4 linked regions of the Anolis sagrei genome follow. The protein of the gene in region 4 binds, or shares a complex with, the protein of the main gene of each other region. Links are inferred from orthologs where the notes say so. Each region holds a gene or a part of one and is shown on either strand. Other genes may lie near its edges. The genes, in order: STK26, STK25, STK24 and STRIP2.

The links.
Region 1: STRIP2 (region 4) and STK26 share a complex: the UniProt entries of both Homo sapiens proteins name them as parts of the core of STRIPAK complex. The link is inferred for Anolis sagrei from reciprocal best matches to the Homo sapiens genes STRIP2 and STK26.
Region 2: STRIP2 (region 4) and STK25 share a complex: the UniProt entries of both Homo sapiens proteins name them as parts of the core of STRIPAK complex. The link is inferred for Anolis sagrei from reciprocal best matches to the Homo sapiens genes STRIP2 and STK25.
Region 3: STRIP2 (region 4) and STK24 share a complex: the UniProt entries of both Homo sapiens proteins name them as parts of the core of STRIPAK complex. The link is inferred for Anolis sagrei from reciprocal best matches to the Homo sapiens genes STRIP2 and STK24.

The regions. Positions count from the first base shown.
Region 1 is NC_090030.1:23,303,603-23,310,931, reverse strand, and holds the start of STK26 (serine/threonine-protein kinase 26), read right to left. Parts: upstream 3,005-7,329; 5' UTR 2,621-3,004; intron 1-2,620. UniProt on the Homo sapiens protein: Serine/threonine-protein kinase that acts as a mediator of cell growth. Modulates apoptosis. In association with STK24 negatively regulates Golgi reorientation in polarized cell migration upon RHO activation.
Region 2 is NC_090023.1:226,720,291-226,727,337, forward strand, and holds the start of STK25 (serine/threonine-protein kinase 25), read left to right. Parts: upstream 1-4,026; 5' UTR 4,027-4,164; intron 4,165-6,903; 5' UTR 6,904-6,984; coding exon 6,985-7,014; intron 7,015-7,047. UniProt on the Homo sapiens protein: Oxidant stress-activated serine/threonine kinase that may play a role in the response to environmental stress.
Region 3 is NC_090023.1:115,845,601-115,853,329, reverse strand, and holds the start of STK24 (serine/threonine-protein kinase 24), read right to left. Parts: upstream 3,018-7,729; 5' UTR 2,772-3,017; coding exon 2,727-2,771; intron 1-2,726. UniProt on the Homo sapiens protein: Serine/threonine-protein kinase that acts on both serine and threonine residues and promotes apoptosis in response to stress stimuli and caspase activation.
Region 4 is NC_090025.1:195,300,435-195,307,488, reverse strand, and holds the start of STRIP2 (striatin-interacting protein 2), read left to right. Parts: upstream 1-4,054; 5' UTR 4,055-4,123; coding exon 4,124-4,183; intron 4,184-7,054. UniProt on the Homo sapiens protein: Plays a role in the regulation of cell morphology and cytoskeletal organization. Required in the control of cell shape. Calmodulin-binding scaffolding protein which is the center of the striatin-interacting phosphatase and kinase (STRIPAK) complexes.

The sequences.
Region 1 (7,329 bases), on a different chromosome or scaffold from region 4:
GGGGAAGGAGAGGAACACAACCCCTCATCCACACACAAGAAGCCCCATCAGCAACTCTTCTATGGGGAAGAACACAACCCCTCACCCACAGTTCTTCTGAACCCCTGGCCTATGGGGAAGGAGAGCAACACAATCCCAAATCCACACACAGGAAGCTTCCCCAGTCACTAGTCTATGGAGAAGAGCACAACCCCTCATCCCCAGTCCCCCTGAATCCTCAGCATATAGGGAAGGAGAGGAACACAACCCCAAATCCACACACAAGAAGCCCCCTTAGCAACTCTTCTATGGGGAGGAACACAATCCCTCATCCACAATCCCCATGAATCCCTAGCCTATGGGGAAGGAGAGGAACACAACCCCTCATTCACACACAAGAAGCGCCCTCAGCAACTCTTCTATGGGGAAGAACACAACCCCTCATCCACAGTTCGACTGAAGTCCTGGCCTATGGGGAAGGAGAGCAACACAATCCCAAATCCACACACAGGAAGCCTCCTCAGACACTAATCTATGGGGAAGAGCACAACCCCTCATCCCCAGTCTCCCTGAACCCTCGGCCTATAGAGAAGGAGAGGAACACAACCCCAAATCCACACACAAGAAATTCCCTTAGTAACTTTTCTATGGGGAGGAACACAATCCCTCATCCACACATACACCCCTTAGCAACTCTTCTATGGGGAAAAACCCCAACCTACAGTCACTAGTCAATGGGGAGGAACAGAACCCCTCATCTACAGCCCCCTAAATCCCTGGCCTATGGGTAAAGGTGAGGAACACAACCCCAAATCCACACACAAGGAGCCCCTTTAGCAACTCCTCTATGGGGAAGAACAGAACCCCTCATCCACAGCCCCCTGAACCCCTGGCCTATGGGAAAAGGGGAGGAACACAACCCCAAATCCACACACAAGACCCCTTAGTAACTCTTCTATGGGGAAGAACACAACCCCTCACCCACAGTCCCCTTGAACCCCTAGCCTATGGGCAAGCAAACCCCAAATCCACACACAAGAAGCCCACTTGGCAACTCTTCTATGGGGAAGAACACAACCCCTCATCCACAGCCTCCTGAATCCCTGGCCTGTGGGAAAAAGTGAGGAACACAACCCCAAATCCACACACAAGAAGCCTCCTTAGCAACTCTTCTATGGGGAGGAGGACAACCCCAAATCCACACACAAGAAGCCCCCTTAATAACTCTTCTATGGGGAAGAGCACAACCCCAAATCCACACACAAGAAGCCCCCTTAGTAACTCTTTTATGGTGAGGAGCACAACACCAAATCCACACACAAGAAGCCCCCTTAATAACTCTTCTATGGGGAAGAGCACAACCCCAAATCCACACACAAGAAGCCCCATTAGTAACTCTCCAATGGGTTAGGAGTAAAACCCCAAATCCACACACCAGAAGCCCACTTGGCAACTCTTCTATGGGGAAGAACACAACCCCAAATCCACACACCAGAAGCCCACTTGGCAACTCTTCTATGGGGAGGAGCACAACCCCAAATACACACACAAGAAGCCCCCTTAGTAACTCTCCAATGAGTTAGGAGTACAACCTAACCCTAACCCTAACCCTAACCCAATGAGTTAGGAGTACAACCTAACCCTAACCCTAACCCTAACCCTAACCCCAAATCCACACACCAGAAGCCCACTTGGCAACTCTTCTATGGGGAGGAGCACAACCCCAAATCCACACACAAGAAGCCCACTTGGCAGCTCTTCTATGGGGAAGAACACAACCCCAAATCCACACACAAGAAGCCCACTTGTCAACTCTTCTATGGGGAGGAACACAACCCCAAATCCACACACAAGAAGCCCCCTTGGCAACTCTTCTATAGGAGGAGCACAACCCCAAATCCACACACAAGAAGCCCACTTGGCAACTCTTCTATGGGGAGGAACACAACCCCAAATCCACACACAAGACGCCCACTTGGCAACTCTTCTATGGGGAGGAACACAACCCCAAATCCACATACAAGTAACTCTTCTATGGAGAAGAGCACAACCCCAAATCCACACACAAGAAGCCCACTTGGCAGCTCTTCTATGGGGAAGAACACAACCCCAAATCCACACACAACAAGCCCACTTGGCAGCTCTTCTATGGGGAAGAACACAACCGCAAATCCACACACAAGAAGCCCACTTGGCAGCTCTTCTATGGGGAGGAACACAACCCCAAATCCACACACCAGAAGCCCACTTGGCAGCTCTTCTATGGGGAAGAACACAACCCCAAATCCACACACAAGAAACCCACTTGGCAACTCTTGTATGGGGAGGAGCACAACCCCAAATCCACACACAAGTAACTCTTCTATGGGGAAGAGCACAACCCCAAATCCACACACAAGAAGCCCACTTGGCAGCTCTTCTATGGGGAAGAACACAACCCCAAATCCACACACAAGAAACCCACTTGGCAACTCTTGTATGGGGAGGAGCACAACCCCAAATTCACACACAAGTAACTCTTCTATGGGGAAGAGCACAACCCCAAATCCACACACAAGAAGCCCACTTGGCAACTCTTCTATGGGGAGGAGCACAACCCCAAATCCACACACAACCCCCAATCCCCGAGGCCAGGCCTCACCTGGGCCTGCCTCTCTTTGCCTCTTCTTCTTCTTCTTCGTCTCCTTCCGGCGCCGAAGCCCATGACCCGCTCCCCCGGGCGGCGCGGAAGGAAGGGCCTCCTCCGTCTCAGGAGGACGCCATCATGGAGGGAGAGAAGGAGGGAAGGAGGGGAGGGAGGCCTAGGCCTCCGCCTCAGCCCCGGCCTCGAGTAGCGCGCTCCCCCTCTCTCTGCGCCTCCCTCCTTCGGCCAAAGGCGGCGGCAGAAGTGAAGTGAAGCAGCAGCAGTGAAGGCCCGGCCTGGTTCTTTCCTCCTGGCGGCCTTCTCTCCTTCCCTTTCCCCCCTTCGCCGCCTCGCCTCACTCTTCTTGGCCTCGCCTCTTTCTCCTCAGCCTCCGCCCCTGAAGAGGGCAGGCCCAGGAGGAGAAGGAGGAGGAAAGAGAGGAGGAAGGAGGAAAGCATAAGTGGAAGAAAGAAGGGGGAAGAAGAGGAGAAAGGAGAGCAAGAAGGAAAGAAGGAAGAAGAGAGAAGAGGAGGAAGGAGGGAGAAAAGCATAAGGAGAAGAAGGAAGGGGAAGAAGGGTAGGAAGAAGAAGAAGGAAGGAAGGAAGCCATAAGAGGAGGAAGGAGAGAGGAGGGAGGAAACCATTATAAGAAGAAGAAAAGGGAAGAAGGAGACCAGGAAGGAAGGAAGAAGGTAGGAAGCCATAAGAGAAGGAAGGAGAGAGAAGAGGAAGGAGGAAGGAAGCCATACAAAGAAGAAGGAAGGGGGGAGAGCAAGGAAGGAAGGAAAGAGAAGAGGAAGGAAACTATAAGAAGAAGAAGGAAGGGGCAAGAAGGGTAGGAAGAAGAAGAAGGAAGGAAGCCATAAGAGAAGGAAAGAGAGAGAAGAGGAAGAAGGAAGGAAACCATAAGAAGAAGAAGGAAGGGGAAGAAGAGGAGGAAAGAGAGCAAGGAAGGAAGGAAGGAGAGAGAAGAGGAGGAAGGAGGGAAGAAAGGAAGGGGGGAAAAGGTAGGAAGGAGAAGAAGAAGGAAAGAAGCCATAACAGAAGGAAGGAGAGAGAAGAGGAAGGAGGAAGGAAACCTTAAGAAGATGAAGGAAGGGGGAAGAAGAGGAGGAAGGAGAAGAAGGAAGCCATAAGAGGATGAAGGAGAGCAAGGAAGAAAGGAGAGAGAAGAGGAGGGAGGAAGGAAACCATAAGAAGAAGGAGGAAGGGAAAGAAGGGTAGGAAGAAGAGGAAGGAGAGCAAGGAAGGAAGGAGAGAGAAGTGGAGGAAGGAGGGAGGAAAGCATAAGAAGAAGAAGGAAGGGGGAAGAAGGGTAGGAAGAAGAAGGAAGGAAGCCATAACAGAAGGAAGGAGAGAGAAGAGGAGGGAGGAAGAAATCCATAAGAAGATGAAGGAAGGGAGAGAAGGGTAGGAAGAAGAAAGAAGGAAGGAAGCCATAACAGAAGGAAGGAGAGAGAAGAGGAAGGAGGAAGGAAACCATAAGAAAAAGAAGGAAGGGGAAGAAGGATAGGAAGAAGAAGGGAGCCATAAGAGGAGGAAGGAGAGCAAGGAAGGAAGGAGAGAGAAGAGGAAGGAAGGGGGAAGAAGGTTAGGAAGAAGAAGAAGGAAATAAGCCATAAGAGAAGGAAGGAGAGAGAAGAGGAAGGAGGAAGGAAACCATAAGAAGAAGAAGGAAGGGGGAAGAAGGGCAGGAAGAAGAAGAAGAAGAAGGAAGCCAGAAGAAAGGAGAGAAAAGAGGGAGGAGGAAGGAAACCATAAGAAGAAGAAGGAAGGGGGGAAAGGGTAGGAAGAAGAAGAAGAAGGAAGGAAGCCATAAGAGAAGGAAGGAGAGAAAAGAGGAAGGAGGAAGAAAACCATAAGAAGGAAGGGGGAAGAAGAGGAGGAAGGAGAAGAAGAAGGAAGGAAGCCATAAGAGAAGGAAGGAGAGAGAAGACCATAAGAAGAAGAAGGAAGGGGGAAGAAGGGTAGGAAGAAGAAAAAGAAGGAAGCCAGAAGGAAGGAGAGAGAAGAGGAAGGAAACCATAAGAAGGAAGGGGGAGAAGGGTAGGAAGAAGAAGGAAAGAAGCCATAAGGGGAGGAAGGAAAGCAAGGAAGGGAGAGAGAAGAGGAGGGAGGGAGGAAACCATAAGAAGAAGAAGAAGAAGAAAGGGGAGGAAGGAGAGCAGGGAAGGAAGGAGAGAGAGCGAAGAGGAGGAAGGGTAGAGGAAACCACAAGAAGAAGAAGGAATGGGAAGGAGGGTAGGAAGAAGAGGAGGGAAGAAGGAAGCCATAAGAGGAGGAAGGAAGGAAGGAAGGAAGGAAGGAAGGAGAGAAAAGAGGAAGGAAAGTATAAGAAGGAAGGCTGAGAAGGGTAGGAAGAAGAGGAAGGAGAGCAAGGAGGGAAGGAGAGAGAAGAGTAGGAAGAAGAAAGGAAAGCATGAAGAGAAGAAGAAGGAAGGAGAGGAAGGAAGAAGAGAGAGAGAGAAGAGGAAGAAAACCACAAGAAGAAGAAGGAAGGGGAAGAAGGGTATGAAGAAGAGGAGGGAGGGAGCAAGGAAACCAAAAGAGGAAGAAGGAGAGCAAGGAAGAAAGGAGAGAGAAGAGGAGGAAAGAGGAAGGAAAGCATAAGAAGAAGGAAGGAGAGCAAGGTAGGAAGGAGAGAGAGCGAAGAGGCGGAAGGAGGGAGGAAACCACAAGAAGAAGAAGAAGGGGGAAGAAGGCAGGAAGGAAGCAAGGAGAGAGAAGAGGAGGAAGGAGAAAGGAGAACACAAGAAGGAGGAGGAAGGAAGGAGAGAGGAAGGAAGCCATAAGAGGAGGAAGGAAGGAAGGTGGAAAAGAGGAGTTAGGAAGGAAGGAAGCTATAAGAGGAAGAAAATGGAAGGAAGGAGAGAGAGAACAGGAGGAGGAAGCCAGAAGAAGAAGAAGAAGAAGAAGAAGAAAGAAAGAAGGAGCGGAGGGAGGAAAAGGAAGGAAGCCATAAGTAGAGGAAAAGGGAAAGAAGTAGAGAGAGAACAGGAGGAGGAAGCCATAAGAAGGAAGGAGGAGAAGAAAGCAAAGAGTGGTCAAGAGAGTTGGTGGGGGGAAGTAGTGGAATTAAATGGAGCTGAGGAGGATAATGGGGCAAATTTGGGGGTTCAGAAGGAACCATGAGAAATGTATAGGGTCCCTTTGACGACACAAGTGAGGTGTGTCGGTGGCAACTGAAGGAGGAACTAGGATTCAAGTGGGGTTTTTTTTGAGGACGAACACAGGAGACCTAAGAATGGGAGTCAATAGAAGTGAGGGCAATTTGGGGGTGCATTCCGGAGGGGGATACGTGTTTAAATGAAGAGCTGGGGATGAATAAAGATATTTATATATACAGGGTGGGCCAAAGGGGGTTTCAGTATTTTGTTTTGTTTTTACTTTGCAATGTTATGGAATCTCAAGAGTTGTAGTTTGTCGGGGTCTTTATCCCTCTCTGCGCTGCATTGAGCCTGGCAGTCCAAGTGCTGTCAAACTGCATTAAATCTACAGTGTGGATGCGCCCTGTGACACATCTTTTGACTGCATCCACAGCAGTGAAAGACAGTACTGTAAGTGAAAACATATTGCGGTTCTCCGTCCAATTTGGTTATTTTCCACTCCACCGAAATGGATGGCATTTAGGCTATTTTTAGCCTGTGGGTCCAAGGAGGCCAGCAGGAAATTCAGGATTTGAAAGCGGACTGAACGGAATGGGAATACTGTAAAAGAGAATAAACATAGGGAGGGATTCCAAACATTGGCGAAACTCAACTCCTGAAATAGGGATTTGACTCAATGGACACTCTGAAGCCCAATGAATGCATACCTTTGAATGTTCCCCAAACGTTGCCAACTACAATTAAATTTGGGCTCCATTGCAAAAAATAAATAAAACCCACCCCAAAACATACTTGACAGTGACTTTTTTATTTAATGTAAAATCAACAAAAACTGGCTTTGCACAGGACCACAAAATGTTCTGCCTGGATGAGTGGGGTGAGGATCAATGGCCAAGAATAAGGAATATTGTTGTGCGGGAAGTTTGGATCGAAACAACAACAAATGCATTTAGCTTGGACGGAAATGATGTCTTTTAAAGCAAGGGTCCTCGAACTTTTTAAGCCAAGTTTGCAGTTCCTCATAGAATCATAGAGTTGGGAGAGATATCATGGGCCATCCAGTCCAACCCCCTGCCAAGAAGTAGGAAAATTGCATTCAAAGCACCCTGACAGATGGCCAACCAGCTTCTGTTTAAAACCTGACTGTGAGAGCCGTTCAGCAGTGGAACTCTCTGACCTGGAGTGTGGTGGAGGCTCCTTAGAATCATAGAGTGGGAAGAGACGTCATGGGCCATCCAGTCCAACCCCCTGCCAAGAAAATTGCTTTCAAAGCACCCCTGACAGATGGCCAACCAGCTTCTGTTTAAAACCTGACCGTGAGAGCCGTTCAGCAGTGGAACTCTCTGACCTGGAGTGTGGTGGAGGCTCCTTAGAATCATAGAGTGGGAAGAGACGTCATGGGCCATCCAGTCCAACCCCCTGCCAAGAAAATTGCTTTCAAAGCACCCCTGACAGATGGCCAACCAGCTTCTGTTTAAAACCTGACTGTGAGAGCCGTTCAGCAGTGGAACTCTCTGCCCTGGAGTGTGGTGGAGGCTCCTTAGAATCATAGAGTGGGAAGAGACGTCATGGGCCATCCAGTCCAACCCCCTGCCAAGAAAATTGCATTCAAAGCACCCC
Region 2 (7,047 bases), on a different chromosome or scaffold from region 4:
TGCTTCTGGGTATATTTGACCTGCTGGTTCTAAAAATTGCACCAGTTTCCCCCTACCGGCTCTAATTTTTGAGATACAGAACATATGCCATCTACCAGAGCTTAGCACAACAGGCTAAACCACTGTGTTGCAGAAAAATACTGCCGATCAGAAGGTCAACAGTTCGAGCCCAGGTCAGGGTTAAGTACCTTTGGTTAGCCCCAGCCCACCTAGCAGGTTGAAAGCAGAAATGCGAGTAGATAAAATAGGTACTGCTTTTAGCGGAGAGAAGTGCTCTTAAAGACATCCTTGGCATGGAAGATGGAGCAACAGTACACCCCCCCTCCCCCCCACACACACACAGCTGGTCAAGCACAGCCTCAAAGATGCCGGAAATAAGATGGGAAAAACTGCCTTTACCTCTGTTGTGTTGTCTGTTCTTGTTATCGTATAATCGGTATTGAATGTTTGCCGTATGTATGTTCTATAAAGCCACTCTGAGTCCTCTTTGGGGTGAGAAGGGCGGAGTATAAATATTGTAAATAATACCAGTTGCTATCTCTTCACTCATAGAAAACCATGATTTTTGTTGTTTATTCATTCAGTCGCTTCCGACTCTTCGTGACCTCATGGACCAGCCCACACCAGAGCTCCCTGTCGGCTGTCACCACCCCCATCTCCTTCAAGGTCAAGTCAGTCACTTCAAGGATATCATGCATCCATCTTGCTCTTGGTCAGTCTCTCTTCCTTTTTCCTTCCATTTTCCCCAGCATAATTGTCTTCTCTAAGCTTTCCTATCTTCTCATTATGTGGCCAGAGTACTTCACCTTTGCCTCTAATATTCTTCCCTCCAATGAGCAGTCGGACCTTATTTCTTGAAGTATAGACTGGTTGGATCTTCTTGCAGTCCAAGGCACACACATACATACACAATACTTACTCTCACACAAAACTTTAATACAGAACGTAGGCTGCTATAGCAATTAGCAGAAGGGTATGTAAAACTAAAGGTTTTCTACTGATAGGCAGGGCCAGATTCACGGATATTTTTTTTAAAAATTTTAAAACACTGGGAGATAGGACATTGTAAATTATAGGGAGGAGGCTCTGGGAATGAGGAAGGATTTCATTGCACAAACCATAAAATAAAGTGCTTTTAAGGACATTTTGCGCAAAATGTGGTCAGGGAGAATCTTACATTAAATTACTGAAAGGCACATTGGAATAACCAGGTTTTCAAATTCCTCCTGAAGATTGCCAGTGTGGGGGCTTGCCTAATATCTCTGGGGAGTGAGTTCCAGAGCTGAGGGGCCACCACAGAGAAGGCCCTCAACAGAAGGGTAGGTAAAGGTTTTCCCCGGCATTAAGTCCAGTCGTGTCCAACTCTGGGGTGTGGTGCTTATCTCCATTTCTAAGCCGAAGATCTGGCATTGTCTGTAGACACCTCCAAGGTCATGTGGCCGGCATGACTGCATAGAGCGCTGTTACCTTCCCACCGGAGTGGTACCTATTGATCTACTCACATTTGCATGTTTTTGAACTGCTAGGTTGGCAGAAGCTGTGGCTGACAGCAGAAGCTCGCGCCGCTCCCCGGTCAACAAGCTCAGCGCTTTAACCCACAGTGCCACCGGGGGCTCCTCAACAGAAGTGTGCCAAAGGTCAAATAAACATAAAGGCATTTATATCAGTTAGTACTGAACTATCATAGTGTTGACATTCTTGGGAATTTTCGTACAATTTCCTTTCAACCACTTGAGCAATCGGACCCCACCCTTTCTGTAAACTAAGAACCAGCCATTCTGGCCAAAGCAACTTTACCTATTCTTTTGGGTTTTATCTAAACCAAATGAAGCGTAAACAAAGGTTGGAGATAGGCACCGCACCTGCCTGCCTGGTTGGGTAATCCAGCCAGATGTATGCAGCCAAGCCTTTGCTGACGGTTTGTTCAATAACACAGGCACTCTTGTCTAGAATCATAGAGTTGGAAGAGACCTCATGGGCCATCCAGTCCAACCCCCTGACAAGAAGCAGGAAAACTGCATTCAAAGCACTCCCGACAGATGGCCATCCAGCATCTGGGTTGTTGTAGGTTTTTTTGGGCTATATGGCCATGTTCTAGAGGCATTCTCTCCTGACGTTTCACCTGCATCTATGGCAAGCATCCTCAGAGGTTGTGAGGTCTGTTGGAACTAGGAAAATTGCGTTTATATATCTCTGGAATGACCAGGATGGGACAAAGAACTCTTGTCTGCTGGAGCTAGGTGTGAATGTTTCAACTGACCACCTTGATTAGCATTTGATGGCCTGGCTGTTGTTTGGTGTAGCTTGTTAGTGCCTGGGGGAATCTTTTGTTGAGAGGTGATTAGCTGTCCCTGATTGTTTTCTCTCTGTTGTTTTGCTGTTGTAATTGTAGAGTTTTTTTAAATACTGGTAGCCAGATTTTGTTCATTTTCATGGTTTTCCCCTTTCTGTTGAAATTGTCCACATGCTTATAGATTTCAGTGGCTTCTCTGTGTAGTCTGACATGGCGGTTGTGAGAGTGGTCCAGCATTTTTGTGTTCTCAAATAATATGCTGTGTCCCAAACACGAATCAAGGAACATGAAAGGCACTGCAGACTAATTCAACCAGAGAAGTCAGCCATAGCAGAGCACCTGATGAACCAACCTGGACACAGCATAGTATTTGAAAACACAGAAATGCTGGACCACTCTGACAACCACCATGTCAGGCTACACAGGGAAGCCATTGAAATCCACAATCCTGTGGACAATTTCAAGAGAAAGGAGGAAACCATGAAAATGAACAAAATCTGGCTACCAGTATTTAAAAAACTCTAAAATCAGGACAGTAAATAAAGAGAAAGATGAATTCCAGACAGAAAACAATCAGGGCCAGCTAACATATCCCAACAAAGGATTCCCCCAGAAATGCTGTATTCTCAAATAATATGCCTCTAGAACATTGTCATATAGCCCGAAAAACCCCACAACAACCCAGTGATTCCAGCCATGAAAGCCTTTGACAATACATCCAGCCTCTGGGTTGTTGTAGGTTTTTTCGGGCTATATGGCCATGGTCTAGAGGCATTTTCTCCTGACGTTTCGCCTGCATCTATGAGAAGCATCCTCAGAGGTAGTGAGGTCCTCACAACCTCTGAGGATGCTTACCATAGATGCAGGCGAAACGTCAGGAGAAAATGCCTCTAGACCATGGCCATATAGCCCGAAAAAACATACAACAACCCAGTGATTCCGGCCATAAAAGCCTTCGACAATACATCCAGCCTCTGTTTAAAAGCTTCCAAAGAAGAAGCCTCCACCACACTCTGGGGCAGAGAGTTCCACTGCTGAACAGGTCTCACAGTCAGGATGTTCAGATGTTATTTCCTTTATTGTAGTGTGAAGCCATTGTTCCGCGTCCTAGTCTCCAGGGCAGCAGAAAACAAGCTTGCTCCCTCCTCCCTGTGACTTCCTCTCACATATTTATACATGGCTATCATGTCTCCTCTCAGCCTTCTCTTCTTCAGGGTAAACATGGTCAGCTCTTTAAGCCGCTCCTCATAGGGCTTGTTCTCCAGACCCTTGAACTGCTCCCTCCTCCCTATGACTTCCTCTCACATATTTATACATGGCCCTCATCATGTCTCCTCTCAGTCTTCTCTTCTTCGGCTCTTTAAGCCGCTCCTCATAGGGCTTGTTCTCCAGACCCTTGATCATTTTAGTCGCCCTCCTCTGGACACATTCCAGCTTGCTGAAGTCCAAAACACCTGGAGGGCCTAAGTCGGTCCAGGCCTAATGTAGATACATTCTAGCCTGGAGGAGGCATTCTTTGAGAGAGGATAGATAGAGGATGTGCCTCTGTTTGTGTCTCCTCACAAACTCTCTTTCCCAGACACCTCCGCGCCTCTGGAGAGGCTGGCCGCGGATTGTCGCAATGCACGCCGGTTATTGCAGTCCCTGCTCCACTATATCCTAACGGAAGCTCGGAAGAGAAGAACTACCTTTCCCAGAAAGCCTCGTTCTGGGATAGGTTCCTGCGCATGCCTGTTTGCGCTCCCGCTCCTTTCCCCCCTCCCTCCTTGCCTGCCTGCCGCCCTTGCCGTTTGCTGTTCCCGAGTTCTCTCAGTATCCTGGGCTGGTCGAGAGCGGAGGGAGGATGGACGGGACGGAACAGCGGGGCTCAGGTGAGAGGAGAAGGAGAACGGCAATGGAACGCGGCTGGCTCGGCGCGGAGGGAGGGTGGCGGGACAGCAGCAGCAGCCCGTTGCCATGGCAAGGTGTCTCCAAGGGGCTGGGTGGAGCTCTCTCTCTCTCACTGAGGTGGGGGCAGGCCCATTGCGTCACTGCCATGGGGGGGGATTCGAACCTCTGTGGACTATACCATCTGATTGAGGGACGGGGGACGACCAATAGATTCTATCCCATTCATCAGAAATTATTATTATTATTATTATTATTATTATTATTATTTTAAAAGGTATTATTATTATATCTGTAATCATATATATATATTGTATCAATGTATCTATAAGGCTAAAACTCTTGTACTAATTCAGGCTGCATCTACAGCAGGCCTGGCCAACTTGGGCCCTCCAGGTAATTTGGACTACAACTCCCACAATTCCTAACAGCCTAGCGGCTGTTAGGAATTGTGGGAGTTGTAGTCCAAATCACCTGGAGGGCCCAAGTTGGCCCAGGCCTGATCTACAGTGTATACAGTTTGACTCAGTTGAATTTCCATGGCTCAGTGGTATGGAGTCGTGGGAGTTGTAGTTGCTCAAAGGTCTTTCTCTGCCAAAAAGTGCTGGTGCCCCACCAAAACAACAATTTCCATTATTCTATTGCATTGAGCCATGGCAGTTAAAAGTGGTCCCAAACTGCATTAATTGTACTGTGTAGGCGCAGCCATTGGTTCCATCCTGGAATTCGTAGCTCAAGATTATCTCCAGAGCCCCTCCCTCCAGCAAAAATATAGTAATATCTATATAAATAAAAATGTAATGTCAGTTTGTGGGATTAACGTAACTCAAAAACCACTGGCCGAATTGACACCAAATTTGGACACAGTATACCTATCAGGGCAACGAGTGACCAACACTGAAAAACACAGCGGAAGAGACTTAAAAAGCCAAAAAATAAAAATACATTACAATGAATGCGCAAAACCACATTTATACATATATACACACAAAACACATATACACAGACTGGGCCACAGCAACGCGTGGCAGGGGACGGCTAGTATAATACTAATTTTGTGCTGTGGTAATATTATAATGTATTATATGTGTATATATATCTATATCTTGTAAGCTGCTCTGAGTCCCCTTCGGGGTGAGAAGGTTGGCATATATATGTTGTATATAAATAAATAAATTTGTGCTATAACCATATATACACACACAAAATACATATACACACAGACTGGGCCACAGCAACGCATGGCAGGAGATGGCTAGTATTATAATATACTAGCCGTCCCCTGCCACACATTGCTGTGGCCCAGTCTCTGTATATGTTTTGTTTGCGTTTATATGTGTGTGTGTATATGTGTATATATGTGGTTTTGCGCATGCGTTGTAATGTAAATTTTTTTGGCTTTTTGAGTCCCTTCCACTGTGTTTTTCAGTGTTTTTATGAGTGATGGTCACTCGTTGGCCTGATAGGTGTCTTGTGTTCAAATTTGGTGTTGTCCAGTGGTTTTTGAGTTATGCTAATCCCACAAATGAACATTAGATTTTTATTTATATAGATTGTATACACATCGAATATTGATAATAATATTATCATATCATACACTATAATACTAATAATAATACAATGTAATAGTTATATAGTTATATATAATAGTTATATAGTTATATATTTTATATTACATGTAATATTACTAATCATATTACAGTATAGTGGTATAGTACAATATAGTAATATAGAATACTAATATTGTGCTGTGCTAATATTATAATATATTGTGTACACATATAATATTGATAATAATGTTATCATGTAATATAATACTAATACAATATAATTATTTTATATTTCATATTACATGTAATATTAGTAATAATGTTACAGTACAGTGGTATAGTACAATATAGTAATATATAATACTAACATTGTGCTGTGCTAATATTATAATATATTGTATAAACATATAACAATGATAATATTATAATGTAATACAATATAATACTAATAATAATACAATATAATAATTACATATTTTATATTACATGTAATATTACTAATAATATTATAGTATAGTGGTATAGTACAATATAGTAATATATAATACTAATATTGTGCTGTGCTAGTAATGTAATATATTGTATACACATAGAATATTGATAATACTATAATATAATACAACATAATACTAATAGTAATACAATATAATAATTTTATACTTCATAATACATGTGATATTACTAATAATATTACAGTAGAGTGGTATAGTAAATATAATAATATATAATACTAATATTGTGATGTTCTAGTAATGTAATATATTGTATGTACAGGTATCTTGTAAGCCGCTCTCAAGTCCCCTTCGGGGTGAGAAGGGTGGGATATAATTGTTATTATTATTATTATTATTATTAATAATAATAATAATAATAACAACAACAACAACAACAATAATAAACTGTGTTATTCCATACGATGTTGCTGTGGCAATTAAAGTGTTGTCATTGTTCGGTGTGAGACATTTTTTGGTGCAGAAGTTTGTATTAATCCCAAGATGGAAGTAGCCCATTGGAAGTACTAGTCGTCTATTATTATTATTATTATTATTATTATTATTACTACCCTGTTTTCTCTCTCTTCAAAGCAGCTCTTTTATCTTTTAAGGTGGCAATTTAAATAAGAGCCTTTCAGCGTGATTCAATTGTATTTCCCCCCCTATGTTTTGTTCATAGTGTAAGTGATCCCAACAAGAGACAGAAAACCCTCTTCTGTTTGAGAGGACTGGTGCATGGGTCTTGTGCCAATCTCCAGCCATGGCTCACCTGAGGGAATTTGCCAACCAGGTAAGCGAGAATTACGGAAACCTGGGGTCCGTG
Region 3 (7,729 bases), on a different chromosome or scaffold from region 4:
TTTAAAAAATCAACCCCAGAACCCTCAGTCGACTTATCAACTATCAATGTGAGTTGATAGTTTGACACCATTCTCTGAGTGGTGTCAAAAGGTGAGAGTTTAGTCTGTCCCAAGAGGAAATTTTAAAAACCGCACAGGCCCCTCTCTCTCCACATTTTTGAAATACCTGGGTGGGGAGATACATCTCAAGTGGCATTGGTGCTTTCCCCCTCTCATAGAATGAACTTCAACTTATTCATGGGTCATGTCAAAATCCATCATTTTGGTCCCAAAACCTGCCCTTAACTTATAAACTATTAGTATATTCAGCAACGAAATCGACTTACAGACTATGAGTATACAGGCAGTCCGCAAATTACAAATAACGTAGGTTCTGTAGGTGTGTTCTCTAGTTGAATTTGTATGTAAGTTGGAACAGCTACATTTTTAAGTGTAACTCCAGTGAGAGAGAGAAAGAGAAAGAGAGAACGAGGTTTGGATGACATAGGGAAGGGTTAACACCCCTCTGGTGCTTGTTTTACTGTCTGTGCCCCTGTACAGAAGATTTCACCTCACTTTCTGTCCCTGTGATTTGGAAAAAATTGGCTTGTTGAGGAAACAAGGATTAGTGATAAAATTTCAGTGGAGACATATTTTCCCCATGATAGGAGTGAATTTCCCTTCCGAAGGGTATATTTCTTTTACTTCCTGTTGTTTCATGCTCGTTTGCAACTATGAGTTGTTTGTAACTTGAAGCTGCCTGTATGCAGCAATATCTTTCTGATCCAGGGTATGGGAGGGAGAAATTAACTAAAGACTGGATCTTGAATTCTGTGTGTGTGTGTTTGAGAATGGAAGTGGGGAAGAGCTATGCACAACTATGGGTGAATAAGAAGGGGGAGGTTTTTATGAAGACAGCAGGCTGTTGTTCTGGGGGGCAAACCGAGTACCCACTGCTGTTATAAATACTGTGGGTCAAATGTATTTTCTCTACTTATATCACAGGATATATACACCAAAATTGGATTACACTGTCCCAAGGATTTCAAAAGCTTTCACTTGCTGTTAACCAGTGAACTTGGCCCCTAGCTAATGCTATGCACAGGGGCTGTCAGACAGGAAGTAATGAACTCTGCAGCAGGAAGTTCTTAAGCAAGGATGCATCTACACTGCACAATTAATGCAATCTGACACTATCTTAGCTGCCACGGCTCAATGCTTTGGAATTATGAATGCTGTGGTAATACAAGACCTTTAGCCATCTCTGCCAAAGAGTGTTGGTGTCCCACCAAACCACAATTCCCAGCATCTCAAAGCATTAAGACACAGCAGTTAAAATAGTGCCAAACTATATCAATTCCATGGTCTAGATTCACCCTAAGCCTTTCATTTAAGGAAATGCAATGAAAATTATCAGTCCTTCAGTTCACGCTTTTCTTAGAGCTAGTATGCAGTATTGGAACTCTCTGCCCCAAACTGTGGTGGAGGCTCTTTCTTTGGTGGATTTTAAACAGAGGCTGGATGGCCATTTATTGAGGTGCTTTGAATGTGATTTTCCTGCTTCTTGGCAAGGGGTTGGACTGGATGGCCTACGAGGTCTCTTCCAACACTATGATTCTAGCAGTTCAATATTCAGAACAAGACTTGTTCTGTTCTATGAAGATGCCTGGTTAACTCCACCAAAGATAAATATATTTCCATATACTCCCTGAAGCTTGCACCCTGAATATGCCTCCCCTTCATTCCCCCACAGGCATGCCTTAGGAAGAAAAGGAAGCACACTTCTCCACAGCCCAGCTCCCCTTTCTATTACCTCCCTTTGTGCATGTCCAATCTTTCCAGCCAAAACAAGACCAAGGGGCTGCTTTCTGCTGCTGCAGCCGCTGAAGGACAGGCAGAAGAAATGTTACCACTAGGTCACTATAACTGGTGTGTGCACCCACCTCTTCCTCTTTGCTAGGCCAGAACATGGAGGGAGGCTGTCCTATCTATCCTTTAAAGCAGGCATGGGCAAACTCCAGCCCTCCAGGTGTTTTGTGCTTCAACTCCCACAATTCCGAATTGTGGGTGTTGAAGTACAAAACACCTGGAGGGCTGAAGTTTGCCCATGCCTGCTTTAAAACAATCCCACCCAATGCACTCCCATCCACAACAAATATTGCCTCAAGGACACCATCTCAGTGTTGACTTGCCCGAAATGGACAGCAAGATAGATAATACAAGGAAGAAAAAGGTAAACAAGAAGCCTGTACATCTATCCAACAAGGGCAAAGGGAGGGAGGCACTTCAGATTATTATTGTTAGTATTATAATCCAGGACACGCTGAAGGTCAACTCTTCTGAACTGCAGGGGTTTTGTTTAGGGCTGGATAGTGCATGAAAAACCCAATTACTGTGCAAGCCCTTAGGAGAGAGAAGCAGGGTGGAAATGGGATATAATCGATGTTAGCAGGGGAGGGAGGGGGGAGAGGGGAGGGATGGCGACCCCTAACTCAAGGGAGAGGAAACCCACAGGCAAAGTATGCACACACACAGAGACACAAATGCCGCTTGGCTTCCTGGGGAAAGAGTGGTCACTCCGTGGTGCCTCTATTGCAAGCCCCGCCGCCTCCTCCTCGAGCCTTGAAGGCCCTTCCCAAGGAGAGAGCCTGCCTGGAGAGGAGCCTCCTCAGGAGAAGGGGCTGCGCAGGAGGCGAGCGCGCATGCGCGGCGGGGAAAACGGCGAAAGGCCCCTTCCTCAGGCTCACCTGCATCCCCGGCAGGCCCGGCTGCTGCACCGGCGAGTGGGCCATGATGACGGCGGAAGCCCCGCCGCCGCCGCCGCCTCCTCTTCCTCCGCCACCGCTGCTGCTCCCGCTGCCTCTCCAGCGCCGTGGCCTTCGCTTGAGGAGGAGGAGGAGGAGGAGGAGGAAGGGGAGGAGGAGGAATCACCTCAGCCCCATCGCCTCCCTCCCCCGCCCCCAGCAGCGCCCCACAGAGAGAGACAGAGCGCGAGGGAGAGAGGCGGGCATGCGCAGAGCAAGAAGGGGAGGGGTTTTCGCCACCCGGCCTTCTACGTCACGGTTGGGGCGGGGCCACGTAGACCCCGCCTCCCGAGTGCGTCACCAAGCGAGTCGGTTTCTCTCTTTCTCATTCCTCCCCTCCCACTACGGAATGCAGAGTCGTAGTCTCGCGAGATCTCTCACTTTTGTAGGCAAAGGGTATTGCTGCCACTCTTAACTAGAGAGAGGGAGGCGGGCATGCGCAGAGGAGGAGAGCAGCTTTTGCCACCCGGCATTACGTCACGGAAGGGGCGGGGCCGTGTAGACCCCGCCTCCCGAGTGCGTCACCAAGCCAGTCGCTTTCTCTCTCGCTCTTTCTCATCTCCACCCCACCACTATGGAATCCCGGGAGTCGTAGTCTCGCGAGGTCTCCCACTTTAGTACCCAGACGGTATTGCTGCCACTCTTAATTGCTCTGGGCGGGCATGCGCAGAGGAAGAGAAGGGGAGGAGCTTTTGCCACCCCGCCTCCTACGTCACGGGCGGGGCGGGGGCCGTGTAGACCCCGCCTCCTCAGTGCGTCACCACGACGGTCGCTTTCTCTCTCTCTCTCTTTCTCATCCCCCCTCCATGGATTCCCGGGAGTCGTAGTCTCGCGAGGTCTTCCACTTTTGTAGGCAAAGGGTATTGCTGCCACTCTAAACCGCCCTGACTCAAGGCTGTGGAAGCATTGGAGTTGTAGGAGAGCCCCCGGGGGAGCAATGGGTTAAACCTTTGTGCCGGCAGGACTGCTGAACGACAGGTCAGGGGTTCGAATCCGGGGAGAGAGGGTTGAGCTCCCTCTGTCAGCTCCAGCTCCTCATGTGAGGATATGAGAGAAGCCTCCCACAAGGATGGTAAAAAACATCAAAACATCTGGGCGTCCCCTGGGCAATGTCCTTTGCAGACGGCCAATTCTCTCTCACCAAAAGCGACTTGCAGTTTCTCAAGTCGCTCCTGACGCGAAAAACCCCTCAGCCTTCCCTGCCAATGAGTGCTACAGTATTACCGCTCCCATGATCCCACAGCATTGCAAGTGGTGCCAAGCTGCTTTTATTCTAGGTTGCTGTGAGTTTTACGGGCTGCGTGGCCATGTTCCAGAAGATGTTTCGCCTGCATCTATGGCAGGCATCCTCAGAGGTTGTGAGGTCCTCTGAGGATGCCTGCCATAGATGCAGGCGAAACGTCAGGAGAGAATGCTTCTGGAAGATGGCCATACAGCCCGGAAAACACAGCAACCCAGTGGTTCCAGCCATGAAAGCCTTCAACAATACATTGAATCATAGAGTTGGAAGAGACCTCGTGGGCCATCCAGTCCAACCCCCTGCCAAGAAGCAGGAAAATCGCATTCAAAGCACCCCCAACAGATGGCCATCCAGCCTCTGTTTAAAAGCCTTCGAAGAGGGAGACTCCACCACACTCCAGGGCAGAGAGTTCCGCTGCATAACAGCTCTCCCAGTCAGGAAGTAATGTTCAGGTGGACTCTCTTTTCTTGTAGTTTGAAGCCATTTTTCCGCATCCTAGTCTCCAGGGCAGCAGAAAACAAGCTTGCTCCCTCCTCCCTGTGACTTCCTCTCACATATTTATACATAGCTCTCATGTTTCCTCTCAGCCTTCTCTTCTTCAGGCTAAACATGCCCAGCTCCTTAAGCTGCTTCTCATAGGGCTTGTACTCCAGACCTTCCAGACATTGCTTTCTTTCTAAATGATGTTGCAAGCTCACATCGTCCCAACAATCTTGTACTTTTAGTATTTCTTCTGTGGGAAATTGCCCAGTGTGGAATACATCTCACGATGTTAAAACAGTGGATGTGGTTCCTAATGAGAAATGCTGCATTATCAGAGGGCCACAGTTTGGTGATGCCTGGTGTAGATTGAGGGAAGTCATGTTACCCCTCTATTCTGCTTTGGGCAGAAACACCTGGAATACTGTGTCCAATTCTGGACACCACAATTCAAGAGAGATATTGACAAGGAAGGTGTCCAGAGGATGGTGACTAAAATGATCAAAGGCCTGGAGACCATGTCCTATGAGGAGCATCTTAAAGATCTGGGTCTGTTTAGCCTGCAATAGAGAAAGTTAAGAGGAGACATGATAGCCAAGTATAAATATGGTTTTTTTTGGTCGTGTCAGGAGTGACTTGAGAAGCTGCAAGTCGCTTCTGTTGTGAGAGAATTGGCCGTCTGCAAGGACGTTCCCCAGGGGACGCCCGGATGATTTGATGTTTTATCATCCTTGTGGGAGGCTTCTCTCGTGTCCCTGCATGAGGAGCTGGAGCTGATAGAGGTAGCTCATCCGCCTCTCCCCGGATTCGAACCTGCGACCTGTCGGGTCTTCAGTCCTGCCGGCACAGGGGTTTAACCCACTGTGCCACCGGGGGCTCCTAGTATAAATATGTGAAAGGATACCATAAGGAAGAGGGAGCAGGCTTGTTTTCTGCTGCCCTGGAGAAGAACTTTCTGACCATGAAAGCTGTTCAGCAGTGGGTCTTTGCCTCAGAGTGTGGTAGAAGCTCCTTCGTAGGCTTTTAAGCCGAGGCTGGATGGCCATCCATTAGGGGTGCTTTGATTGGGCTTTCCCTGCATGTCAGAGCGCTGGACAGGGGAGTCTCTTTCAACTCTATGATTCTAATGGGGTTGTTGTATGCCTTCAAGTCATTATTGGCTTATGGAGACCCAAAGGTAAATCTATCACAAGATTTTTGAACTTAAAAGGTCCAAGTGTGGATTCACACCTGTTTTCCAATGCCATAGTCCAGTGTTCAAACCATTATGCCACACTGGCTTCCACTTTACAAATCTGCCATAGTAAATAAGGGACAGCGAGTTCCAGTTTAATTGTGTATTCCATGCCGCCGCAATGATTTTTAATGTTTGGCGCTTAAATACAAGAACAAGAAAAGAAACACATCAAAGTAAATCACACCAGTGTCTTACATAAACTAGGATGCAAATATCCCTTCAGTTATCTATTTGTTGCTGTGAATGGGTTAATGGTAAATAACAATGAAAGCAAAACAAATAATTTTAGAAAATATAATCTCAATAGGATTCTATGTATTTGCATAGATAACAAGAAAATCTTGGATTTGTTCATAACAATCCTTCCCTAGGCAATCACTGAATTCCTTTCGTGGGATGATCAATTATCTTAAGTTTCTGCGTTAACCTAGTTACTGTGTCACACCCAGAGCCAAACTCTTCAACAATTAAAATAATTGGTGTTGATCAAACTCATTGCAAAAACGTAACGACACCAAAGGCAGTCTAATTAGGCCAAGGAAGAATTTCATAGCCACATCTTTCTTCACTGCTTTTCTGCGGCCGGTTGCTAGGATCATCCATCTCCATATTCTAGAAAATATGTGCCACTGAGTAGCAATTATGCCATTAATGTTAGACTCGACGTTGTCATCTTAAATATAAACACCCCATTAAATACAGTGTTTAGTACACTGATGTGTATCACGTCACTGAGATGTATTATTTTACTTTTTTTTCAAAATGTATTAAATTATGCTCCTTTATTGTTTCATGATCATACATTAGAAGCCCCAGCCACAAAAGGGCATTCTTGTGATTGCACAATATCATGGTTAGTAGCTAAAGATTTTCCCCTGACATGAAGTCTAATCATGTCCAACTCTGGGGGTTGGTGCTCATCTCCATTTCTAAGCTGAACAGCTGGCGTTGTTCATAGACACCTCCAAGGTCATGTGGATGGCATGACTGCATGGAGCGCCATTACATTCCCGCCAGAGTGGTACCTATTGATCTACTCACATTTGTATGTTTTTGAACTGTTAGGTTGGTGGTTCAAATCCACTCCCCGGATTTGAAGTGCCAACCTTTCGGTCGGCAAGTTCAGCAGCTCAGTGGTTTATCCTGCTGTGCCACTGGGGGTTGTCACTTCAAACCAATGTTCAACTCATTTCTAGGCTGTCCTTCTCCATTAAAGGGGTGGGGAGAGAGAGACTCTCATATTTAGGCAGCAGAAAGCGTTTCAAAAAAAATGTCAATGTAGTGCAATAGACCAACCGCATCAGCAAGTTTGAGACATGTACATATTCTTGTGGTCATCATTTTTCTTCACTTCCCCACCCACAAGCTGCTGGCTATCCCTCTTCCAATAAACAGCCAGAGGGGACCTGCAAAGCTGTAACTTCCCACTTTCTCCCCATCTTCTTCATTTTCCAAATAATTCGAGTAACCGCAGTTTCACAGGTAATTCCAGGCACTAACAAGGTCTTCCCTTGTTGATCAAGTATTTCCTTAAGTTTTTTGCAAGGCTTTGAATTGGATTATATGAGCCTACATTGCCAGATAATCTGGGACCCTGGGATATAGAGCAGTGTAGATCCAGCCAAAAGCAGCACTTATAGCAGGCATGGGCAAACTTTGGCCCTCCAGGTGTTTTGGACTTCAACTTCCACAATTGAAGCCGGCAAGCTGTTAGTTATTGTGGGAGTTGAAGTCCAAAACACATGGAGGGCCAACGTTTGCCAGGGTTATAGGAACTGGAATCCAGTAACATCAGTGAGGCCACAAGTTGCCCACTCCTGTCTTAAAACCATACATTGCTGTCACCATTATCATTTCAGTCTAATTCTTCAAATGTCTTTCAATTTCTAGCAACATATTTGAGGCCAACTCTACCCCACTACTACCTAAAATAGAAAAAAGACTCCCTTGTAGCCAGGAACGAGGATCCTAAGACTGTAAGACTCTGAC
Region 4 (7,054 bases):
AACAGATCTGGACCAAACTTGGTATGAATGCTCAATATGCCCAAATGTGATCACTGGTGGAGTTTGGATAAAATAGACCTTGACATTTGGGAGTTGTCGTTGCTGGGATGTATAGTTCACCTACAATCAAAGAACATTCTGAACCCCACCAACAATAGAATTGGGCCAAACTTGACACACAAGACCCCCATGACCAACATAAAACACTGTGTTTTCTAATGGTCTTTGGTGACCCCTCTGACACCCCCTGGTGACCCCCCCCCCCCAGGGGTCCCAACCCCCAGGTTGTGAATCACTGGATTAGAGGGTCCTGTTCCTACTCTGGGGTGCAACAGACCAAACTATTGCCATCTTGAAACTCAACTTGAAACTCATTAACATCCCTCCCCACATCCAAAACACCTTGATCCTGGAACACAATCCCAGGCTGAGCTCCAGCAGTAAGTTCGTTGTGAGAAGAAGCTCTGTGAGAGTGAAGCTGTTTATCTGCTTGAGAAAGAAGCCCAGCGTGGAAGCAAAGAAGGAAGTATAAAGAGGTTTGTTTGTGTTATGGAGAAAAGAAAAGGCTCTTAAGGAAGATATAGTATTGGTCTATGTTTTTGTTCTTTTTATCACTGGGCTACTGATGCTGCTCCAGCAAAGGATCACCGCCTTCCCTCTCTCCTGAGGAATCTGTACAAGGACCAAGGAGCAACAGTCAGAACTGACCACGGAACAGGAGACGGGTTCAAGATTGGGAAAGGCGTGCGGCAAGGCTGCATCCTCTCACCCAACCTTTTTAACGTGTATGCAGAACACATCATGCGAGGATGTGCGGGGCTTGAGGAATGCAAAGCTGGGGTGAAAATGGCTGGAAGAAACATTAACAACCTCAGATATGCAGATGACACCACTCTGATGGCCGAAAGCGAGGAGGAGCTGAGGAGCCTTCTAATCAAGGTGAAAGAAGAAAGCGCAAAAGCCGGATTGCAGCTAAACGTCAAAAAACCCAAGATTATGGCAACAAGAATGATTGACAACTGTGAAATAGAGGGAGAAAATGTGGAGGCCGTGACAGGGTTTGTATTTCTAGGCGCAAAGATGAGTGTGGCCAGGAAATCAGAAGACGCTTCCTTCTTGGGAGGAGAGCAATGTCCAGTCTCAATCAAATAGTAAAGAGTAGAGACATCAGACTGGCAACCAAGATCCATTGCCTAGTCCAAGCCATGGTCTTCCCTGTAGTCACCTACGGATGTGAGAGCTGGACCTTCGGGAAGGCTGAGCGAAGGAAGAGAGATGCTTTTGAGCTGTGGTGTTGGAGGAAAGTCCTGAGAGTGCCTTGGACTGCGAGAAGATCCAACCAGTCCATCCTCCAGGAAAGAAAGCCTGACTGCTCGCTGGAGGGAAAGATACTAGAGACAAAGTTGAAGTCCTTTGGCCACATCATGAGAAAACAGGAAAGCCTAGAGAAGGGAATGATGCTGGGGAAAGTGGAAGGCAAAAGGAAGAGGGGCCGACCAAGGGCAAGATGGATGGAAGGCATCCTTGAAGTGACTGGACTGACCTTGAGGGAGCTGGGGGTGGTGACGGCCAACAGGGAGCTCTGGCGTGGGCTTGTCCATGAGGTCACAAAGAGTCGGAGACGACTGAACGAATGAACAACAACAACTGATGCTGGGTCACGCTGCTGCTGATAAGTACGTTTATGGGGAGGGTCTCCTTGCCCAACATAAACTGTGTTAATTCTACAGTGTGGATGCACCCCGTGTTCACCTTGCAGCCGTGTCCATACCGTTCTCGGTTCTTTCCGGTGTTGCAAAGGTACATAAATGTGCTTCCCCCCCCCCCCCCCCGCTTTTTGGAAACCTGGCTTGCCAATGGCAACCTCAGCCTTTCCTCTCCCACCTTTTTCTCACCTTTTTGGCAGGTGACCATAGCAACGGCCCACCTGTCCGCAAAACACAATCCGGAACAGTCCTGAAATAGCACCTGAGAGAGTGACACCTTTCAGTGGCCCCATGCGCACACACACCTGGCTTTCATGCAACACAATGGTTTTCAAAATGTTACACACACACACACACAATGACCTTCAGGCTATGTGACTAAGGAGTCTATGAAACAACACACACACACACACACACACATGTGTTATAGTATGTGTGTGTGCATAGAGTCTCATCTCCAAGATAAGTTTGTCCAGGTATCAGAATTGCATCTCCTGGGAGTTATAGTTTGGAGAGGCATCAACACTTTGGCAGACTCACACACGCAATAGGTGCCTGTGGTATATTGTGTGTGTGTGTAAGTTTGCAAATACACAGATACAGAAAACAGGGCTTGCAAAGGCAACCCATGCAATTTGCAATACAGCCCTTTGCAATAAGTGCTTATAATAGTTTGCAAACATATACAAGTCACACATATACAGGCCTAGCCTGGCAGACTCAAGGCAAAAGACCTTGTTAAACTACAACTCCCATTAGCACTGAGATGTGTAGAGTGAATGCAGCTAAACTGCCATGGCTCAATGATATTAACTCGTGGGAGTTGCAGTTTTGCAAGGTTTGAGGATTTCTCTGCCCTGCAGTGTTGGTGTCTTGTCAAACTACAACTCCCAGGATTCCATTAGCACTGAGGCATGTAGAACGAACACAGCTTGACATGAAGCAATGATATTAACTCACAGGAGTTGTAGTTTTACAAAGTCTGTGGACTTTTCTGCCATGCAATGTTGGTGTCTCATCAAACTACAACTTCCAGGACTTCATTAGCACTGAAGCATGAATAACCGAATGCAGCTTAATGGTATTATCTCATGGGAGTTGTAGTTTTACATGGTCTTAAACCTTATCTGCCAAATAATGTTGGGGTCTTGTCAAACTACAACTCCCAGGATTCAATAGGCATTTTCATTTGCATCCATTCTACAGTGTAGAATAGATGCACCATGCATATCTCGCCAAACTACAACTCTCAGGACCCTATAGCATTGGGCCATGGTGGTTCATGGGTCGTGGATGCAATGCAACCAGTGCTATGGAATGCAGGGACTTCCAGGAGTTGTAGTTTTACAAGGTCTGTGGTCTTCTCTGCAATATAATGTCAGTGCTTCACCAAACTACAACTCCCAGGACCCTATAGCATTGAGCCATGGTGGCTTATGGGGTGTGGATGCAGCGCAACCAGTGCTAGGGAATGCAAGGAATTGCGGGAGTTGTAGTTTTACAAGGTCTATGGACTTATCTGCAATATAATGTTGGTGCATTACCAAACTACAACTCCCAGGGCCCTATAGCATAGGGCCATGGTGGCTTATGAGTCGTGGATGCAATGCAACCAGTGCTATGGGATGCAAGGACTTGCGGGAGTTGCAGTTCTACAAGGTCTACGGACTTCTCTGCAATATAATGTTGGTGCTTCACCAAACTACAACTCCCAGGACCCCATAGCATTGAGCCATGGCGGCTTATGAGTCGTGGATGCAATGCAACCAGTGCTATGGGATGCAAGGACTTGTGGGAGTTGCAGTTCTACAAGGTCTATGGACTTCTCTGCAATATAATGTTGGTGCTTCACCAAACTACAACTCCCAGGGCCCTATAGCATAGGGCCATGGCGGCTTATGGGATGTGGATGCAACACAACCAGTGCTAGGGAGTGCAGGGACTTGCGGGAGTTATAGTTTTACAAGGTCTTTGGACTTCTCTGCAATATAATATTGGTGCTTTACCAAACTACAACTCCCATGGCGGCTTATGGGGTGTGGATGCAATGCAACCATTGCTATGGAGTGCTGGGACTTGTAGTTCGGGGAGGCGCCTTTGAGGGGAACTACAACTCCCAAGCTTTCCCTGCCCATAATACTCTAAATCTCTGCAAGCAATGCAAGCAGAAGCCCCGCCTCCCTTCTTCGCCTGCCGCCCTGGTGACAGCTCTCCCAACAGGGGTCTCCCTCCTCCGCGCCGCAGCCAATGGCCGGCGGGGGTGTGCGCCCAGGCCCCGCCCAGAGGCGCCGGGCAGCCAATGGCAGAGCAGGTGGGCGTGGCCGGTGCGGGGAAGGGCTGTCCCCAGCCCCACACGTGGCCGCCTTGCTGCAGGGCTTCCCGGCTGGAAGGAAGGAAGGAAAGCAGGCTGGTGAGCCATGGAGGAGCCGGGCAAGCCGGGAAAAGGCGCCCCACGACCCCAGAGGAGCCGCTCCCAGGTCAGAAGCCTCTCTTGGCACACTCTCCCAGGCACCCATTGCAAAAGGGGGACATGCACCCCTTGCAAAACTGCCCGGGGACCCCTTTTGAAAGCCCTGTTTGCTGTATTTTTGCATTTGCAAACTTATGGTGGGCACCTATTGCCAAGGACTGTATTGCAGGTTGCATAGGCTGCCTTTGCAAGCTCTGTTTTTTATATCTATTTGCAAACTTAGCATAGGCAGCTATTGCAAAGGATAATGTGTGTATTTGCAAACTATATATATATGTGTGTGTGTGATTGCAATCTGTAATATGCACCTATTGCAAAGGATGGTGTACACACATTGCCAATTGCATGGGGTGCCTTTTGCAGGCTATATATGTGTTTGTGTATACATATCTATGTTTGCAAACTATTATAAGCACTTATTGCAAAGGATAATGTGTGTATTTGCAAACTATATCTATATATATGTGTGTGTGTGTGATTGCAAACTGTAATATGCACCTATTGCAAAGGATGGTGTACACACATTGCCAATTGCATGGGGTGCCTTTTGCAGGCTATATATGTGTTTGTGTATACATATCTATGTTTGCAAACTATTTTAAGCACTTATTGCAAAGGATAATGTGTGTATTTGCAAACTATATAGATGTATATGATTGCAAACTAATATGCACCTATTGCAAAGGATGGTGTGCACACATTGCCAATTGCATGGGGTGCCTGTTGCAGGCTGTGTATATGTGTTTGTGTATACATATATATGTTTGCAAACTATAATAGGCACTAATTGCAAAGGTCTGTATTGCAAATTGCATGGGTTGCCTTTGCAAGTTCTATTTTTATATGTTTGCAAACTTACTATAAGCACCTATTGCATATATATATGCAAATATAGATATATGCAGATTGCATGGGCTGCCTTTGCAAGCTCTGTTTTTTGTATCAATTTGCAAACTTACCATAGGTAGCTATTGCAAAGGATAATGTATGTATTTGCAAACTATATATATATGATTGCAAACTGTAATATGCACCTATTGCAAAGGATGGTGTACACACATTGCTAATTTTGTAGACTATGTATATGTGTGACTTGTATACATATATATGTTTGCAAACTATAATAGACACTTATTGCAAAGGGCTGTATTGCAAATTGCATGGGCTGCCTTTGCAAGCTCTATTGTTTATATCTGTTTGCAAACTTACCATAGGCACTTATTGCGTGTGTGTGTGTTCTTGCAAACTATAATAGGCGTCTATTACAACGAACTGTGGGCACACATTGCCAATTGCATTGGGTGACTTCAAGCTATGTACCCTAGGTATGTGTCTCAGTGTGTATACATATATATGTTTGGAAAGCATAAGTCGCAGCTGTTGCAAAGGACTGTATTGCCAATTGCATGGGGGTGCCTTTGCGAGCTCTATTTTTATATCTCTGTCTTTGCAAACTTATCATCGCCACCTATTGCAAAGGATAATGTGATTTTGTAAGCTACAATATGCACATATTGCAAAGGATTGTATTGTGAATTACAAGAGATTCCTTGGCAAGCTCAGTTTTTATATCTATTTGCGAACCTATAGACACCTGTGAACATACATATGTTTGCAAACTAATATACACATATTGGGAAGGATATGCACATAATGCAAATTGCATGGGTGACTTGGCAAGATATGTGTGTGTGCATGTGTATATACACACACATATGCCAGTGACTTGCAAACTTGCACATGCTGCAAACTATATTGTCTGGGAGTTGCAAGGTCTAAAACAGGGCTTCCAAAGGCACCCAAGACAAAATTTGGGGGCATATTTTTCCTCTATATATTTGAAAACTATGATTAGGACTTAGTGTATTGCAAGTTGCATGAGGTGCAGCTACAAGTACTGTTTTGCCAACTATAACAGGCACATAATAAAAAGGATAATGTGCACACATGTATCATGTGCAAGCATTGCAAATTACAGAGGGTGACTCTATATATATGTTTGCAAACTATAATAGGCACATATTGCAAAGGATAATAATGTACACACATTGCCAATTACAAAGGGTGACTTTGCAAGGTATGTGTGTGTCATATATAGAATCATAGAATCAAAGAGTTGGACGAGACCTCCTGGGCCATCCAGTCCAACCCCATTCTGCCAAGAAGCAGGAATATTGCATTCAAAGCACCCCTGACAGATGGCCATCCAGCCTCTGTTTCAAAGCTTCCAAAGAAGGAGCCTCCACCACACTCGGGGGCAGAGAGTTCCACTGCTGAACAGCTCTCACAGTCAGGAAGTTCTTCCTCATGTTCAGATGGAATCTCCTCTCTTGTAGTTTGAAGCCATTGCTCCATTGCGTCCTAGTCTCCAGGGAAGCAGAAAACAAGCTTGCTCTCTCCTCCTCCCTGTGGCTTCCTCTCACATATTTATACATGGCTATCATGTCTCCTCTCAGCCTTCTCTTCTTCAGGCTAAACATGCCCAGCTCCTTAAGCCGCTCCTCATAGGGCTTGTTCTCCAGACCCTTGATCCTTTTAGTCACCCTCCTCTGGACACATTCCAGCTTGTCAACATCTCTCTGGAATTGTGGGGCCCAGAATTGGACACAATATTCCAGGTGTGGTCTAACCAAAGCAGAATAGAGCATGGGTAGCATGACTTCCTTAGATCTAGACACTATGCTCCTATTGATGCAGGCCAAAATCCCATTGGCTTTTTTTGCCGCCACATCACATTCCTGGCTCATGTTTAACTTGTTGTCCACGAGGACTCCAAGATCTTTTTTGCCAATATATATGTTGGCAAACCATAACAGGCACATATTGCAAAGGATGACGTGTATACTTTTATAATGTGCACACATTGCAAATTACTGAA